Linked DNA regions of Lonchura striata. The protein of the gene in region 1 purifies or fractionates together with the protein of each later gene. This does not show direct contact. Links are inferred from orthologs where the notes say so. Each region holds a gene or a part of one and is shown on either strand. Other genes may lie near its edges.

The links.
Region 2: the proteins of IFT25 (region 1) and IFT22 purify together in Homo sapiens (affinity purification with mass spectrometry; 3 studies listed by BioGRID and IntAct, with this or other methods). This does not show direct contact. The link is inferred for Lonchura striata from reciprocal best matches to the Homo sapiens genes IFT25 and IFT22.

Annotation. Positions count from the first base shown.
Region 1 is NC_134611.1:8,997,005-9,004,750, reverse strand, and holds IFT25 (intraflagellar transport protein 25 homolog), read right to left. Parts: upstream 2,888-7,746; 5' UTR 2,831-2,887; coding exon 2,733-2,830; intron 2,339-2,732; coding exon 2,232-2,338; intron 1,904-2,231; coding exon 1,835-1,903; intron 1,297-1,834; coding exon 1,253-1,296; intron 795-1,252; coding exon 687-794; 3' UTR 570-686; downstream 1-569. Other genes in the region: LRRC42 (leucine-rich repeat-containing protein 42), read left to right, coding at 4,158-4,630, 6,655-6,786. UniProt on the Homo sapiens protein: Component of the IFT complex B required for sonic hedgehog/SHH signaling.
Region 2 is NC_134622.1:4,872,566-4,879,471, reverse strand, and holds the start of IFT22 (intraflagellar transport protein 22 homolog), read left to right. Parts: upstream 1-3,867; 5' UTR 3,868-3,905; coding exon 3,906-3,944; intron 3,945-4,074; coding exon 4,075-4,154; intron 4,155-4,224; coding exon 4,225-4,314; intron 4,315-4,992; coding exon 4,993-5,195; intron 5,196-6,080; coding exon 6,081-6,229; 3' UTR 6,230-6,906. UniProt on the Homo sapiens protein: Small GTPase-like component of the intraflagellar transport (IFT) complex B.

The sequences.
Region 1 (7,746 bases):
TATGATGGTCCCAGCCTAAAGCACTGGTGGCTGTGACCTGATTCTAGAGAATATTTATAGAAACAAGGGACTGATGTATAATTATTAAAAGCCTATAAAAACACTTCATTTGGATTCTGATTATTTCCATTCCTTCCCTGCCTCTCTCCCCCAGGTTATTTCTAAGCATTAGCAGACATTTATATTCATTCTAACAATCTCTGAGTTTGAGCTGATCAGAGAGTTAGCAACTTAAGGACTTCTGAAGAACTTGTTTGACAGTGGAAGTAATACATCCCACTTAAGTAGCTCAAACTTTTTTTCCTATTTAACTCAGAGTGCAAGGGAAATATTTTACAGGAAATTAAGTTTTAGTTAATGTATTATGTAAACCTGATACAAATACACTACCTTAAATGGACTCAGTTACGCTCAGGTGTTCCAGGCTGACAGTTTAGGTTACAAAATGAAAAAGCTGTTACTACAATTAACAACTGCACTGTGTTGTGGTTGGACTTGATGATCTTATTATCTGTATTCTTCTATCCTATTCCATACATTAAACCAGCAAGGAATATATACCACATCCATACCTTCCAAAACCACTTTAATACAAGGTTCTAATAATAAACATTCTCTGCAGTGCAGGTATTGAAATTTAACTTCCTTATAAAAAAATAAAGTGGGGGCCCAAACTTAAGCTGGGCTCAAGTGTTCTCTGCTGTGCCCTCTGCCATCACCCGGTGCACTGACACAAAGTGATCAAAGCCAGATTTGATGATGAAGCGCAAGTAAGTGGCTTGGAACTCAGGAAGCTGCAGAAGGAATAAAATGTCATTGCATCCTCTGTAGTAACAAAACCACCAAAGCACATTTGCAAAAGTTTGTTAAACACGAGGATCTGGGTACTTCAGGGTTCCTTCTTGAACTGCACATAAATCAAGTTCTTTGACCTGCAACTCAAAAAAATCCCATCACCTCCTGAATTCTGTAGCCTTAAAGGCAGCAACTGAAGGAGAGGAAATTGCCACATTTCTGGAAAGGGCCCTTGCACCTCATTAGGAGCACTAGGCAGGTACAATTTCATAGCATAATCTACAGAGGAGCAGCTGGGAAGTGCAATTTCACACCACAATCTACAAACTCCTCCCTTTAACACCAACTGAGCAATAATTGTAAATAGAGACACATTTGGTTTCTTTATGGTTTCTCCCCACTCAATCCAGACATGCCATTTCATGAACCACTACTGATGTACACTGCAAATACTCACTGTAAATTCTTCCATTTGTAGCTGTCCTTCTCTGTGCTGCAAATCTACAAAATATATTTTAAGGTAAACAATGAAGAACAATGTGCAATGCAGTGAAGTTTTCACTGGACTCAGAGTTCAAGTGAGTTCAAGGACAATGAATTTACGCTACATATAGACATTGTTCTTTTTTATTTTTACAGGTGATTTAAGAGAATACATTTTTGCAGTATCCCAGTCTGTGTATGTATATATACATCCCACTCATTACAGTGTTATAACAAAGTCACCCAAGAGGCACTAAAAAAAGCCAATCCCCAAGCCAAACAATCCAGGAAATGGCACTCTATTATACTATGTAAGCCTGTTTTTAATTTTTGGAACATAAAGTGCACAAGTAGCACTTTTAGCCCTTATACAGCAGTTTACTCTCTGAACTGCTGCAGAGACCAGCAGTTAAAAAATTCACTTAAATGTGACTGTTACATTAATGTCTAATAAAATAATCATCACCCCACACTTTACTCAACAAATAGATGAGGGGTTACAGTGATTCACTGAAAAAAACATTGCCCCCCAAAAAGCCCACAAACTCAGTCTTACCTTTTTCAACACATTGTTCAAAACCCACAGGGTCCTTAGATGTGCTTCTTTCAATCCTTAAGGTCCGCACTAAAATATATATCAATTCAAAATATCAACACAAGTTCTGATTCTTTATTGACACTGATATCTATTCCATCACTTTACAACCACAAAACACTTTCAGAGCATTAACTAATTTTTTTTTTCTCTACGCTATGGGGATTGTGGATACAAAGGACAATTGCTTTATGAAAATGAATCTTTATGCAAAATTAAATCTTTATGTAAATTAAATGTTTACAAATCTCTTAAAAGTGGCTACATACCGACTATGACACTACTGTGGGAACTTTTAAGGCACAGACACGCATTTTAATATAGCACATATTTCCTATGGCAAGACACAAAGTCTTACCCAAATAACACTGGATGGCGACTTTGCTGATTTTTACACATTTGGGAAATCCAATAATCAGTTCCTGTGGGAACATGCCCGTAGTCGTCCAAAATGTTTTGGAACTTCTGTAGAGAGAACAGAACAAAATCCTCAACTGAAGCTTTCCATCTATAACCATCTTGAATGAAATATACCACAGAAAAACATGGAGTGGAAAGGAAGGGGAAAAGCGGAGGGGAAGAAGGGTGGAAAAGGGTGGAAAAACAGGGGGAGAGCGAGGAAGGGAAGGAGAGGGACGAAAAGGAATAGGGGAAAGAGGGGGGAAAGGAAGGGGGATGCATTTTTATTTGGGGTGCTTTCAGCAGGGCCCTGTACAAGGACGGGGCCGCTCTCTGGGGCGGCCCCGCACAGGATTGCGACGGCGGCGGGCGCCGAGCTCTCCCACCGTGCGGCGGCTCCAGCGGGAGGGCGAGGGCCGCGCCCGGCGGGCTCCGCTCCCGCCGCCCCCGCCGCCCTCACCCGTCCGCCACGCTCTCGGCGGGGTGCTCGGCATCGCTGGACGTGGCCAGGACCAGCGCGGCCCCCGCCGAGCTCCGGCACCAGTCGGCGGCTCCCATCGCCCGCCGCGGCGCTGCCGCTCCCGGGCAACCGCGGCGGCTCCTCCCCTGCGGCCGCGGCCGCCGCGGGGAGCCGGGCCCGCCGCTGGCCGGGCGGGGCCCCGCTGCCCCGGGCCCCGCTGCGCCCCGCCCGCCGCCCGCGCGGCCCCGCCCGCCGCCCGCGGGCGCCGCGGGGCGGGAGCGCCGAGCCCCGGCCTGGCTGACGGCGCGGCCCCTCCCGGGGCAGGTAGGTGGCGGCCGGGGGGATCGGGGAACCAGCGGGATTCTGGCCTCCCTGCCCGGGCGGAGAGGGGCGGGGTGGGGACCCTTCCCCCGGCGCCCTTCCCCCGGTGCCCCTTCCCCCTGTGCCCTTCCCCCTGTGCCCGTTCCCCCGGTGCTCTTCCCCCGGTGCCCCTTCCCCCTGTGCCCTTCCCCCGGTGCTCTTCCCCCGGTGCCCCATCCCCCGGTGCCCCTTCCCCCTGTGCCCCTTCCCCCGGTGCCCGTTCCCCCGGTGCCCTTCCCCCCGTGCCCCTTCCCCCTGTGCCCCTTCCCCCGGTGCCCGTTCCCCCGGTGCCCTTCCCCCGGTGCCCTTCCCCTGTGCCCGTTCCCCCGGTGCCCGTTCCCCCGGTGCCCTTCCCCCGGTGCCCCTCGGGGCAGTGCCCGCTCACGGCGCGCTCAGCCCCGGGCACAGCCCGATCCCTTCGCAGACCCTTCCCAGCTCCTCTCCGGGTTGGACCCCATCCCTTCGCACCCGGCTCCCCATCCGTCCCGGTACCCCCGGCCCCCCTGGGGCAGGGCCCGCTCGCCAGCCCCGCCGGCCGGGAGGCGAGAGGATCCTGTCCCTGCCCTGCCCCTCGCCAGGGCAGGTCTGAGCTCTCCTGCCCCCCCCAGACCCGCTCGCCAGCCAGAGCCCCCCGGCACCGGGGAAGGGGCGCCGGGAGATGCCCACCCTCCCCGGGAGGGAGGTTCCAGCAGGCTCCATTGCCCAGCTGCAGTCAGACATGTGCCCTCCTCTTCCTCCTTCTCCTGCCTGCAGGAGAACCAGGCCTGGTTGTGCGGGCACTTCCCACTCAACCCCTCTCCCGCTGCCCCTGTCTCCATCCCGGGCCTGGGATCTATCCCGGGGGTCTCAGCCAGCCCGGGGTCCAGCTCCCACTCGGATGGGGTGGGTGGTTTGGTGGCAGGCAGCTCACGCCCCTGCTCCACACAGCCTGCCCTCCTTGCTACGTGGCCATGCTCAGGGCTCTAAGGGGAGCTGCCAGCTTTGGGGGCTTCCCTAGGTCATGTTTTTGACTGTGGCTGTTCTTCACTTGTCTGTGATTTGTTTTTACAGAGCTGGTCGAGGGGAATGTCGTACTGTCTCCACTCAGAAAGCCATTTGGATACTGGGCCAATATACGTGCGTGAAAATGGGAAGCTGCATGTGGTAAATCGGGGTGCAGGCAGCGTACAGAATGTCACTCCCAAAGCAAGACCTTTCAGTCTGTTTTCCAGAACTTTTTCAGTGGAGCTTTGCATGAACAGGGAGGATGATAGGGCAAGGAGGCAGAGGACTGATCATTTCATCTTCACCTACACCAAGGAGGGGAACCTCCGCTACTCGGCCAAGTCCCTCTTCAGCCTAGTGCTGGGTTACATTTCTGACAATGTAGATCACATTGACTCGTTGATTGGTTTCCCAGAGCAGATTGCTGAAAAGCTCTTTTCAGCAGCAGAAGCAAGACAAAAGTTCACAGAGCCAGTGACAGGACTGAGAGCTCTGCAGAAATTCACTGAAGCCTATGGCAGTTTGGTGCTGTGCTCACTGTGCTTGCGGAACAGGTAAGTGTGTCCCCTAACAAATCTTGTCTTCTGCTAGCACACTTCAAACTTCCCCTAAATTAAATTAAATAAAAATACATTTTAGCCTTACAACACCACGTAACATTAATTAAATGCCCTGAGCACTATCTGATTCTTGTGCTTTTATCCCATCCCTTTCCTACAAGTGAAGCTGTAGGTTTCATTTTAAGATACAAATCATAACAGAGGTAACAGACTGCCTCTGCTTTAACCAACAGGGGATCTTATATGGAAGATTAAACCTGCAACTATTTTTAACAATAATAATAACTTCTGTGGAAATCCGTGTGCTGAGTGCCTTCTCAGGTATTTCATGGGATGTCTCTTTAATTGCTGTTTAAAAGCTTTTCAACACACTTAGCTGACTGTACAGATAAAATACACCCCTGCAAATTGTTCAGGTTTACTAACTATAAGCTTTCTGATATGTCTCATTTTGAGGGCTCAGAAGAAGATACAGACTTGTTGGTAAGTTGCAGGCTTTAAAATCAAGCAGATTTTACCTTGTTACCACCCCATATTGGCTGTACTTTAACGAGGTCCTGATTACAGTTCGGCACTAGTTTTTCCATCTTCTCAGTGCCCACATCTTTAACTGAAAGAGTCTTGCCAAGTTTAAAACTGGATTATGTTTTTAAAGCCTTGCTCCTACTGAAGTCTTTCCCAGTAATAGAACCCTTCTCTTCCATCTCTACACTTGAAAAAGGGATGGTTTATCCAGTTTAAAATCAAAGTACTGGCATATTCATCTGAAGTACCAAGGGTGTTCTGAGCACAGTGGGAATGTTTGAGTAGAAGTCAATTATCCTTTGTTTTATCCTTTAAACCTTCTCCCTTTTTATCTCTAGCACAGATAATTTTATGGGCTTAATTTAGAAATTAAGCTACTTCTGGCATCTTTTGCCATTACAGAAAGCTGAGTTAAGCATCAAGTCTTTGAAATCCAGGAAGTAAGGCATTAAGGCATTTTCTGATGAATTTTATTTCTAAGAGCCCACTCTCCAGAACCCCCCTGAGCTAATAATCTCTCTCGAGAACTGGCTTATGCTCTGTTTATTGTGCTTTTTGCAGAGCCAAATTGCACAGGCAAGGGGTTTGAGTGGGGTGGTTTGAGGGGTACAATTACACTGGGATGATATTAAGGTCCTCTTGTTTGCATGGACAAAGAGGTGTTCTTGGAGGGATCAGGTTAATAATCACCCCCAGTATATGCAGTGAAGATGCTGACCTCAGGGTGTGTCTTGCCATGGGGAATACAAGGTAAATTCAGGAGGTATCAGTGAATTTGGAGCTTGTCTTGCCACAGGGACAGCAAGAGGTGACTGCAGGGGAGGTACTGAGGGCTACGTGCTCATTACTGCATACTCATGCCTGCCATTCTTCAGTGGTTTGTTCCCATCTCTGAACCTCCTACTGAATAGCTCCAGCACAGATGTTTGCGTGGCTGCTGAGTGAATCACACCAGGGAACCAGCACAGCTGAAAAAAAACCCAGAGTAACTGCTGCCTCAGCTCTGGCCAGTCCTGGACTTCTACCTCTACTCAAGCATTTTATTGACATATATAAAAACTAAAATTTTGCTACTGAAAGGCTATCCTGTCCTGTTTAAAATCCATGTTTGAGGTGGATTTTAAACCTGGATGAATGTGGGTTTGTCTGTACCTTTCCTAGGAAGAGCAGTTTGTGAAACTGACTATAAACTGAGACATTTTGCATTATTCTGAAATAATACAGCAATAATCTGTAAAGAAGCTCCTAACAGCAATATTTACAAGTTGAATCAAATCTAAACCATGACAGTGATTTAAGGAGAAGACTGGGAATTCAGACTTGTGTGCCAGCTGCACATAAAGAGGTACTTAGTGCAGCTGGGTAATTTCTGTCAATTTTCGCATAGGTACTTGGCAGAAACGAGTGCATTGTGCTTATGGCACTTGGGGATGTGGACTTACATGCCTGAGCACTGAGGGCTTTTTTTTTTTTTTTTTTTTTTGGCTTTGCAGGTACCTGGTTATCTCTGAAAAGCTTGAAGAAATTAAGTCTTTCCGGGAGCTGACGTGTTTGGATCTCTCCTACTGTAAACTTGGAGATGAACATGAGCTGCTGGAACACCTCACCAAAGAGGCCCTGTCTAGGTACCAATTTCTTGAGCTAAAAATGACTCTTTCCTACCACTAAGCAGTTCAAAGAATCAGGCTGAGACTTTAAAGGGAAGTTTCACAGACTACGGAGTGTAAGGTTGAAGATTTTGGTTGTTCATAAAACCTGTTCTGTAGGTAAACAAAATACAGAATTTATTGTGCACAAAGCACATACTGAATCATAAAAAGTACTAAAATTATGCAAGATAATTTACTAGCTCATGTTTTATATAAACTTTTTATAATTTTTATTGTCTAGGTAAAAAATGCATCTTTAACATTTGGAACAGTTTTACATTTCCTATTTTAAGGGGGAACTTTTTCAGCCAGATTTTTAACCAAACTAGTGTTCTACATTAAGATTTCTGCAAGCAGGATGTTGATTATTTGGTTAGTTAACATCTCAAACCAGTAAATTTTGTAATTTTCTTGTGTACAAAAAACTGATGAGTAGATAATTTTGGAAGCATTAGGTAGGATGACTGCTAATTAAGGATATTATGTTACTGTAAGATTTTGGTGCATTTTGCATCAAGGTTTTATCTTGAAGTGCTCTGAAGAGCACTTAAATGTGATGTTTCTTCCTGAGTTTTGTTAATCTGTTATACAACCTCATTATTTTCTTAAAATCATTGCTTATGATCACTTATTGAATCTGTCCTCTCGGTTTGCCAAGCATTTTCTTCGTTTTGAGTGCATTTCAGTTTGGCAGCCTTGGTATAAATAACTTCAGGGTATAAAGAAGCTTATTGTCTCTGTTGGCAAACGTTTGGCTCTAGAATCAGTTTGTCACTGGAGCTGTGGGCATGGCTGCTCAAGTGGTGCTTCTGTTGAGCTAGCAGGGAAATGTAAAGATATTTGTTACTCCTGCTAACCCAGGCTCCTTCCTCACTGCTTTTTACAGTGAGCCTGTAGGGGCTGGCACAGGATGACCCTTCTGACACAGAGTTGTAG
Region 2 (6,906 bases), on another chromosome or scaffold:
TTCTTAGGGTGGCCATAGAGGCAGACATGTTCCTTGGTCTTGTTTTTCATCTCTGCTTTGTTTCTCCATCTATATAATGGAAATAAAGATCCTCATCTCTCCTGGGAAGGATGTTGAGGCCACAGATCAATAAGAGTTGAAGTCCTTGACAATCTGTTGGCATCAACAAAGCAATAAGGTTTTGTATGAGCTGTTCCTGTTGATTCCAGAATAGGTTTCCTGAGAGAGACTGAACTGAGTGTTACCCACAGACTCATGACAAAGAGCAGGGCTGCACTGCACCCCTGTCAATGCACCTTAATGTCCTGTTTCCCTTTGGTCTCTTGCCATAGCTACACCCAAAGATTTTTCCAGAGAGCAGCCACACTTCATCCAAACCATCATTTACTTAATCAGCTACGCTTTGAGCCCCAGAGACACATCCCTGCCCTGAGCTGCTCAACCAACAAGCTTTGAGATTACAATATTGATTTTCTCCTTCATTTTTAATAACAGCCTACAATGCTCAAAAATAGGTGTTCCTTCCTCTCAGTCCCTGTATTCCATGCCTTGCCTCCAGGTGAACCAGTATCTGTCTGCACCCACTGAAGAGCTGTTTCTGCACACACACAATAAATGTCATGCAACACACAGCAAGCAGGCAGAGCCTGCCCTTCATGGTGAGCTGTGCCATGTGGTTGTATTTCTAAGCCAGGCAGCATTTTCACACACAACTGGAATGCTCCAGGGTATGTTTCCCAAAGTTTGGAAACATTGCTACAGTACATTAAACAAAGCACCAATACTGAGCCACAAAAGCTTATGAAAAATTTTTTTGAGTTGTTTTCATAGGAAAATTTTTATGTGCCACATTAAATGAAATACAATGCAAACTTAAAATACTGAAAGGCTGAATGGTTTGCAAGTGCTCAAGTATTATCTAAAAGCTGACTGGCAATACATTTTACTGCTGCTTCCAGTAAAACCAGTGGTCTCTGCCTTGGAGGCAAATATCCTCTGATCTGCAATTCAGGCAAAAAGCATCACTTGCCCTCATACAGCAATCACTGCATCTCTCACTCAAGTTCTTACTGGCATTTCTAGAGCATAGAAAAGCTTTATTAAAATATCATTGATATCTTGCAGTGGCTTTTGAGGGGTAAAAGGAGGATTTTACAAAGAAAGTCACCTGAAGATGATAATTTTTGCTTGCTACCGAAACATTATGGTGGAAAACCTGCCATCTAATAAATGCAAGACATAAAGACCATTACCAGCATTTTCTGTAGTTCAATGTAAATAGATCACTTATTGCTGGGGTTTCCTCCCTACTGCAGTCTGACAGGGAGTTTTAAATCAGTGAAGGAAAATGATTCACACACATGTGCTCTCAGCAAACAATACACCAGGCACTAACATAGCTTTACCCATATGCCTAAGGCAGATGCTGATAACATCAAATGTACTTGACTTAGATGCCTTTGAAAACAGTTACCCTAAGTGGCTTGAAAGCTTAATTCCCACTTTCTAAAGTCACTTCAAACCCTAAATCACATGGATAAATCCAAAAATTGCACCCTTAGTCGGCTCTGCTCTCCTTACTCTTCAGTGGCTAATATAAACATACAAAAACCCTATCTGACACTCCATCTAAAAATTAATCCTAATTGCTTTCTGGGCAGCAGCACAGACAGCCAGTTTTACCCAGTTTCAGTTACCTCTTATGCATTTTTTTCCCTTCTTCTGTGCTGGTGTCCACAATAGGACCCTTTATAACATATTTCTCTTCATGTGCTAGTGTCAGCTAATACCATAAACCAGCTGAGGCTGTCCTGGTTCTTCTCTCTGGGCCACCCTTTCTGTCTTTCCTTTGGAAGTTAAGGGTCTGAAATGTGGAAAACAACAAAGCTGTGGAAAGAATTAACTATGACTTGTCCCAACTCATTGTGAATTTGGTCCTGAATCATGCAGAACACAAACAGAAAGCACACATCCAGTCTGTTACAGCAGAATCAAGTTCACAGGTAGTTGCAGCTACTGCTTTTTCATTGTCTTAGTCCCAAAAAGCTGAAAAGAAAGGGCTTTGTGATATTTAAAATATATGTGAACATCAGGATGCCACTGCCACACTGAACCACTGTAAACTATCCCTACACAAGGAGTGAAACAACAAATGAGTCTCCACTGTGACAGAGTAGACTGTACCCCCTCAGTGAGAGCAGAGCATTTCTGGTTCACATTTATTAGCAGTACTGGTAATAAACATTTACACTGTGGTAGCGCCTAGAGGCCCTGTTTGAAAGCTTGTCTAGAAGTGCTATTGTACCTGGGCACTAAACAGCTCTGAAGCAGCACATCTGTCTGCCAGATGTTTTATTTTCTTAGAAGCTGCTATTTCAAAAAGTCTCTTGCCTCTCCTAACAAGCCTTAATAAGAATCTTCAAGAGCTTGGCTTCATCATCCTTCCAAGGAGAATCTGCTGTTAAAACTGCAAAGAAACAAGGAAGGAGAGCACTGCTGGAGCTAGTGAGGGACACCAGGGCAATGCAGAATGGTCTGAATTCCACATTGACAGAGGGCTCTGGAAGAGGGCACTGACCTCTGCCTGTTTCATCCCTCCAGGGCTGCCCTCCACGGCACTGGGGGCCAATGTAGGAGCAGCATTGCATGGATGTGGCCAGCAACGGGGTGCAGCAGTGAGCTTGGTGGTCTCTATTCCATCCTTCATTGACTTTTGGACCCTGAAAGTTAGCACAGGAGTGATGGGCTTTATCTTCTCATGGTTCAAAGATTGGTATCTATGGGCAGAAAAACAGTTTGAGAGGGACTTTGCACTTTCTCCCACTTCTGCCCTCAAAAGCCATCAGCTGTTCCTGCTCTGGTCAGTGACAGGGCTCACACAACTCAGTGGTTGGAAATACTGTCTCCTGCTGAAAGGAGCAGCTGGGGAATGTCAGGAAGATTTCCTCCTTACCGAAGCGCCCTGGGCCACAGCAGCACATACATTGTGAAGGATCCCTTTGCTCTTTTGCTGTGACACCACATTTGTTCCAGCAGACCTATGAGCAGGCTGGGCAGAGCAGGGGAACAGAGAGGGAACAATGGGGACAACGCACACAGAATTCACAGAATGACCGGGTTGGAAGAGACCTTTCAGATCAAGTCCAACCCAGTCCCTACACCTCAACTAAACCCTGGCAGCCAGTGCCATATCCAGGCTTTGTTAAACACACCCATGGATGGGGGGACTCCACCACCTCCTCGGGCAGACGATTCCAGCACTTTATCACTCTTTCAGTAAAAAACTTTTTCCTAATATCCAACCTGTATTTCCCTTGGCGCAGCTTAAGACTGCGTCCTCTCGTTCTGTCAAGCAAGGACAGCGCGGGGACAGAGCAGGGACACGGCGAGGACACACGCTGCGGGCACAGTCTGGGGACACCAAGGGGACACTGCGGGGACGGAGGGAGGACGCAGGGGACGGAGCGGGGACACTGCGAGGGCGGCGAGGCGACATGAGGGGGACGGAGGAGTAAAGAGAGCGCGGAGGGAGCGGTCACAGAGCGCGGGCACAGCGCGGACACGGGCACAGCGCGGAACGGGCACAGCGCGGGCGCGGGCACAGCGCGGGCACAGCGCGGACACGGGCACAGCGCGGGCACAGCGCGGGCGCGGGCACAGCGCGGACACGGACACAGCGCGGAACGGGCACAGCGCGGGCGCGGGCACAGCGCGGAACGGGCACAGCGCGGAACGGGCACAGCGCGGGCACAGCGCGGACACGGGCACAGCGCGCCGCCCACAGCCCGAGCGCTGCCGCCCCTCACGGCGCGGCCCGCGCCTCCCGTCACGTGAGCGCGGCAGAGCCAATGGGCGCGCTGGCGCCGGTTGCCGGGCAGCGCGCGCGGGGGCGCGGCGCGGCCGCCATGCTGAGGGCCAAGGTGCTGCTGGTGGGGCCCCGTGAGGTGAGCGCGGCCCGGAGCCCCAGCGAGGGAGGGAGGGAGGGATGGCGCGGGGAGCTTGGGTGAGCTGTAGTCTGGCACGTTAAATTCCTGTGTGTGTGTCTGTGTGTCTTTCACCCCCGCGTTGTGCCAGTCGGGCAAGTCGGTGCTGGCCAACTTCGTGTCCGAGAGCACGGAAGGGATCTGCAGCTACAGCCCCACGCAGGGCGTCAGGTGAGCCAGGGCCCCGCGCCCCCTGTGCCGCCCGCGCCATCGAGCCCACGCGTGTCCGTCATCTCCGCAGGATCCTGGAGTACGAGAAGCCCAGCCTCGGCGGGAGCAGCAAGGGAGCTGGCTGTCGGTTCGAGCTCTGGGACTGCAGCGGTGATCAGAAGTAAGCCGGCATTGTTACTTCCTCCAGGTTACTGAAATCCTGATAGATCTGTTTACAGCATATTCTTAAAGCTCAAGCCAATGATCTGTTTGATATGAAGACAATTCCTGACTCTTTACCCCAATATATTTTTATAGTTTTTGTTGTAAAGCATCTAACACTAGGTACACTCTGCCGTGATAACCCCTGAACTCTGTTTTGGATAAGGACTGACTCAAACAGTAAAGTCCACAACTCCTGGAATGAAGTTACAGATACAGGAGACAGAGGCCCACTCTGTGATTGCCTTCATCTCCGTTAAATTATGTGAATGGACTTCAAACAACATGTGCATATGATTGAGGCCTTAATTTCTAAAATGTAATTGTGAATGATCCGTTCTTAGGGAAATGTTTAATTAAGTTAAAATGAGCATTTGACGAAAGTTTAATTAAGTTAATGAGCATTTGACCAAATTCTACATTGTCAGAAAATCATCAAATTAGAAAATCACGAGATCAACTGTCACAATAGATAAGTCAAAATACTTGGAATATGATATATAGCTGGCATGGTTACTGATGTTGTAGTTAAAAAAGTACTTAATGTGTTCTTGAGAAGGGGAAAAAACTTGAGGAAATTTGAGTGCATGTTTCTGCTCTACAGCGCTCAGTCTTTCAATTCTCTGTGTTTTTCAAGGTTTGAAACATGCTGGCCAGCTCTGATGAAGGACTCTCATGGTGTAATAATAATCTTCAACCCTGAGCTGCCCAGCCACCTGAAAGAAATCGAGATGTGGTACTCATGCTTCGTGCAGCAGCAGCCACTGCTTGACAGTCAGTGTCTCCTGGTGGCACATCACAAGCCAGGCAGTGCAGGGGACACAGAAAACCTGTCCTTGGGTAAGGAGATGGAGAACTCCATTTGTAGCTCAGAGCTTTTCATTGATCTTTGTGACTTCAAATTTGTTAATACTTCATGGTTTTTTCATCTAAATCTGTTGATTAAAGAGCACTAAAGTGCTTTGAAAAAGCAGAAATAATGGATTTCAAAGGTGAGCAATATTCCTGTTTCTGGGAATGGGGAAGGGAAAGTGTCAGTGGCTTCTCCAAGTGTATATGCAGCTGAACCAGAAATTAGAACTCCTGCCTTATTTCCTTATGAGATGTAGTTTGGTTCTTACATTGGATTTTTTTTTTTTTTTTTTTTGTGTAACAGACACCCTTTAGGGCATTTAAGTCTGTATTTTGCCAGCCAAAAGAACAGGAGCTCTTCAAAATAAAAGGCAAATGAGCTGCATCTTAAAATTAGCAATAGGTACCTTAGATACTGCAGAATTATTTGTGACTATTTATGGCTGTGAAAACACACATTCCCTTCTGGGCAACCTGTTTAAACAAGGACATGTTTGTTATAAGTATTAATATATTAATACATATTTAATACAACAATATTATTCCATAACTTCTTTGAAGTAATCAAAGAGTATCATATCACTTTAATAATAAAACTGTAGTTCAGTGCTCAATTTGTTTAATTCTGCTTAACTGAATATGAGACCAAAACTAGACTTTACACTTGAATAATAATAAATTTTGAAGAATTTAATCTGGCAATAAGCTATATTTGTTTGCAACACTGACAAACTCTGCTGCATTTCTCCTTGCCCTGTTCTGTGTTATCTGGGGTGTCAAACATTGTGTGCCACTGAATTCCAGCTGAGCTGTTTCATGATTGTGACTATTTCTAAGAAGAATATACCTAATTATTCTTATTTATTTTCATAGCTTATCCACTGAACAAGCTAAAATTGATACATTCCAACTTAGAGGAAGATCCTGAAGATGTTCGGATGGAATTTATCAAATACTTCAGAAGCATTGTCACCATAATAAATGAGAGCAGAGAGAGGGAAGAAATGTCAATTATCTCATAATATTAAAAAATATACTGAACAAGGAAGAAAAAACATTATTTTCCCTTTGTAAGCTATATTAGCCTGTGAACAAACCGTCCCTAGGAGAATTTTCTAGGCTACAAATACTTCAGTCTGTCAAGAGGGTCTGACATCAAGTGAACTGTGGTGCCAAGGAGATGGCTGCACATCCAGGAATCCGAGTGCAGTTTTGTAGCTGCGCTTTGGTATCAGAGGCACAGGAAGGCGTTTCCATGTTGCTGTGGCCCAAAATACAAAGGTTTGGGTCATGTCTTCAGAATTCCTCTGTGCAGGGCTGCTTGGAGAAGAAAGCCTGACAGAACATAAGACTGGAGTTCTGCTGAAGCACCTGGGCGAGGTGCTCATGTTAGCTGGAGAAGGCTTGTCTTTGGAAGTACAAACTGATTGGAATAGAGATCTAAGAAGTGATGGTGTAGAATCCATGTTTTTATGTTCCAAGTTGTCCTTGTCGTTCCCTTGAGGAGAGCACATTGCACAGCCATTGCCTTGGCAGGACAGAGCAGGCTGCAGTCTTTCCCAAGACTAAGTTTTTCTTCTTTTCCAACAAAACAAACGTGTTGTGAGGACACTGTTTAGGTCTCTCTGGGAGGAAGGAATTGAAATCTTGGTTTAATGCAATATTCTGACTTATATTAGGAGCTCAAATAAGTTCTGAA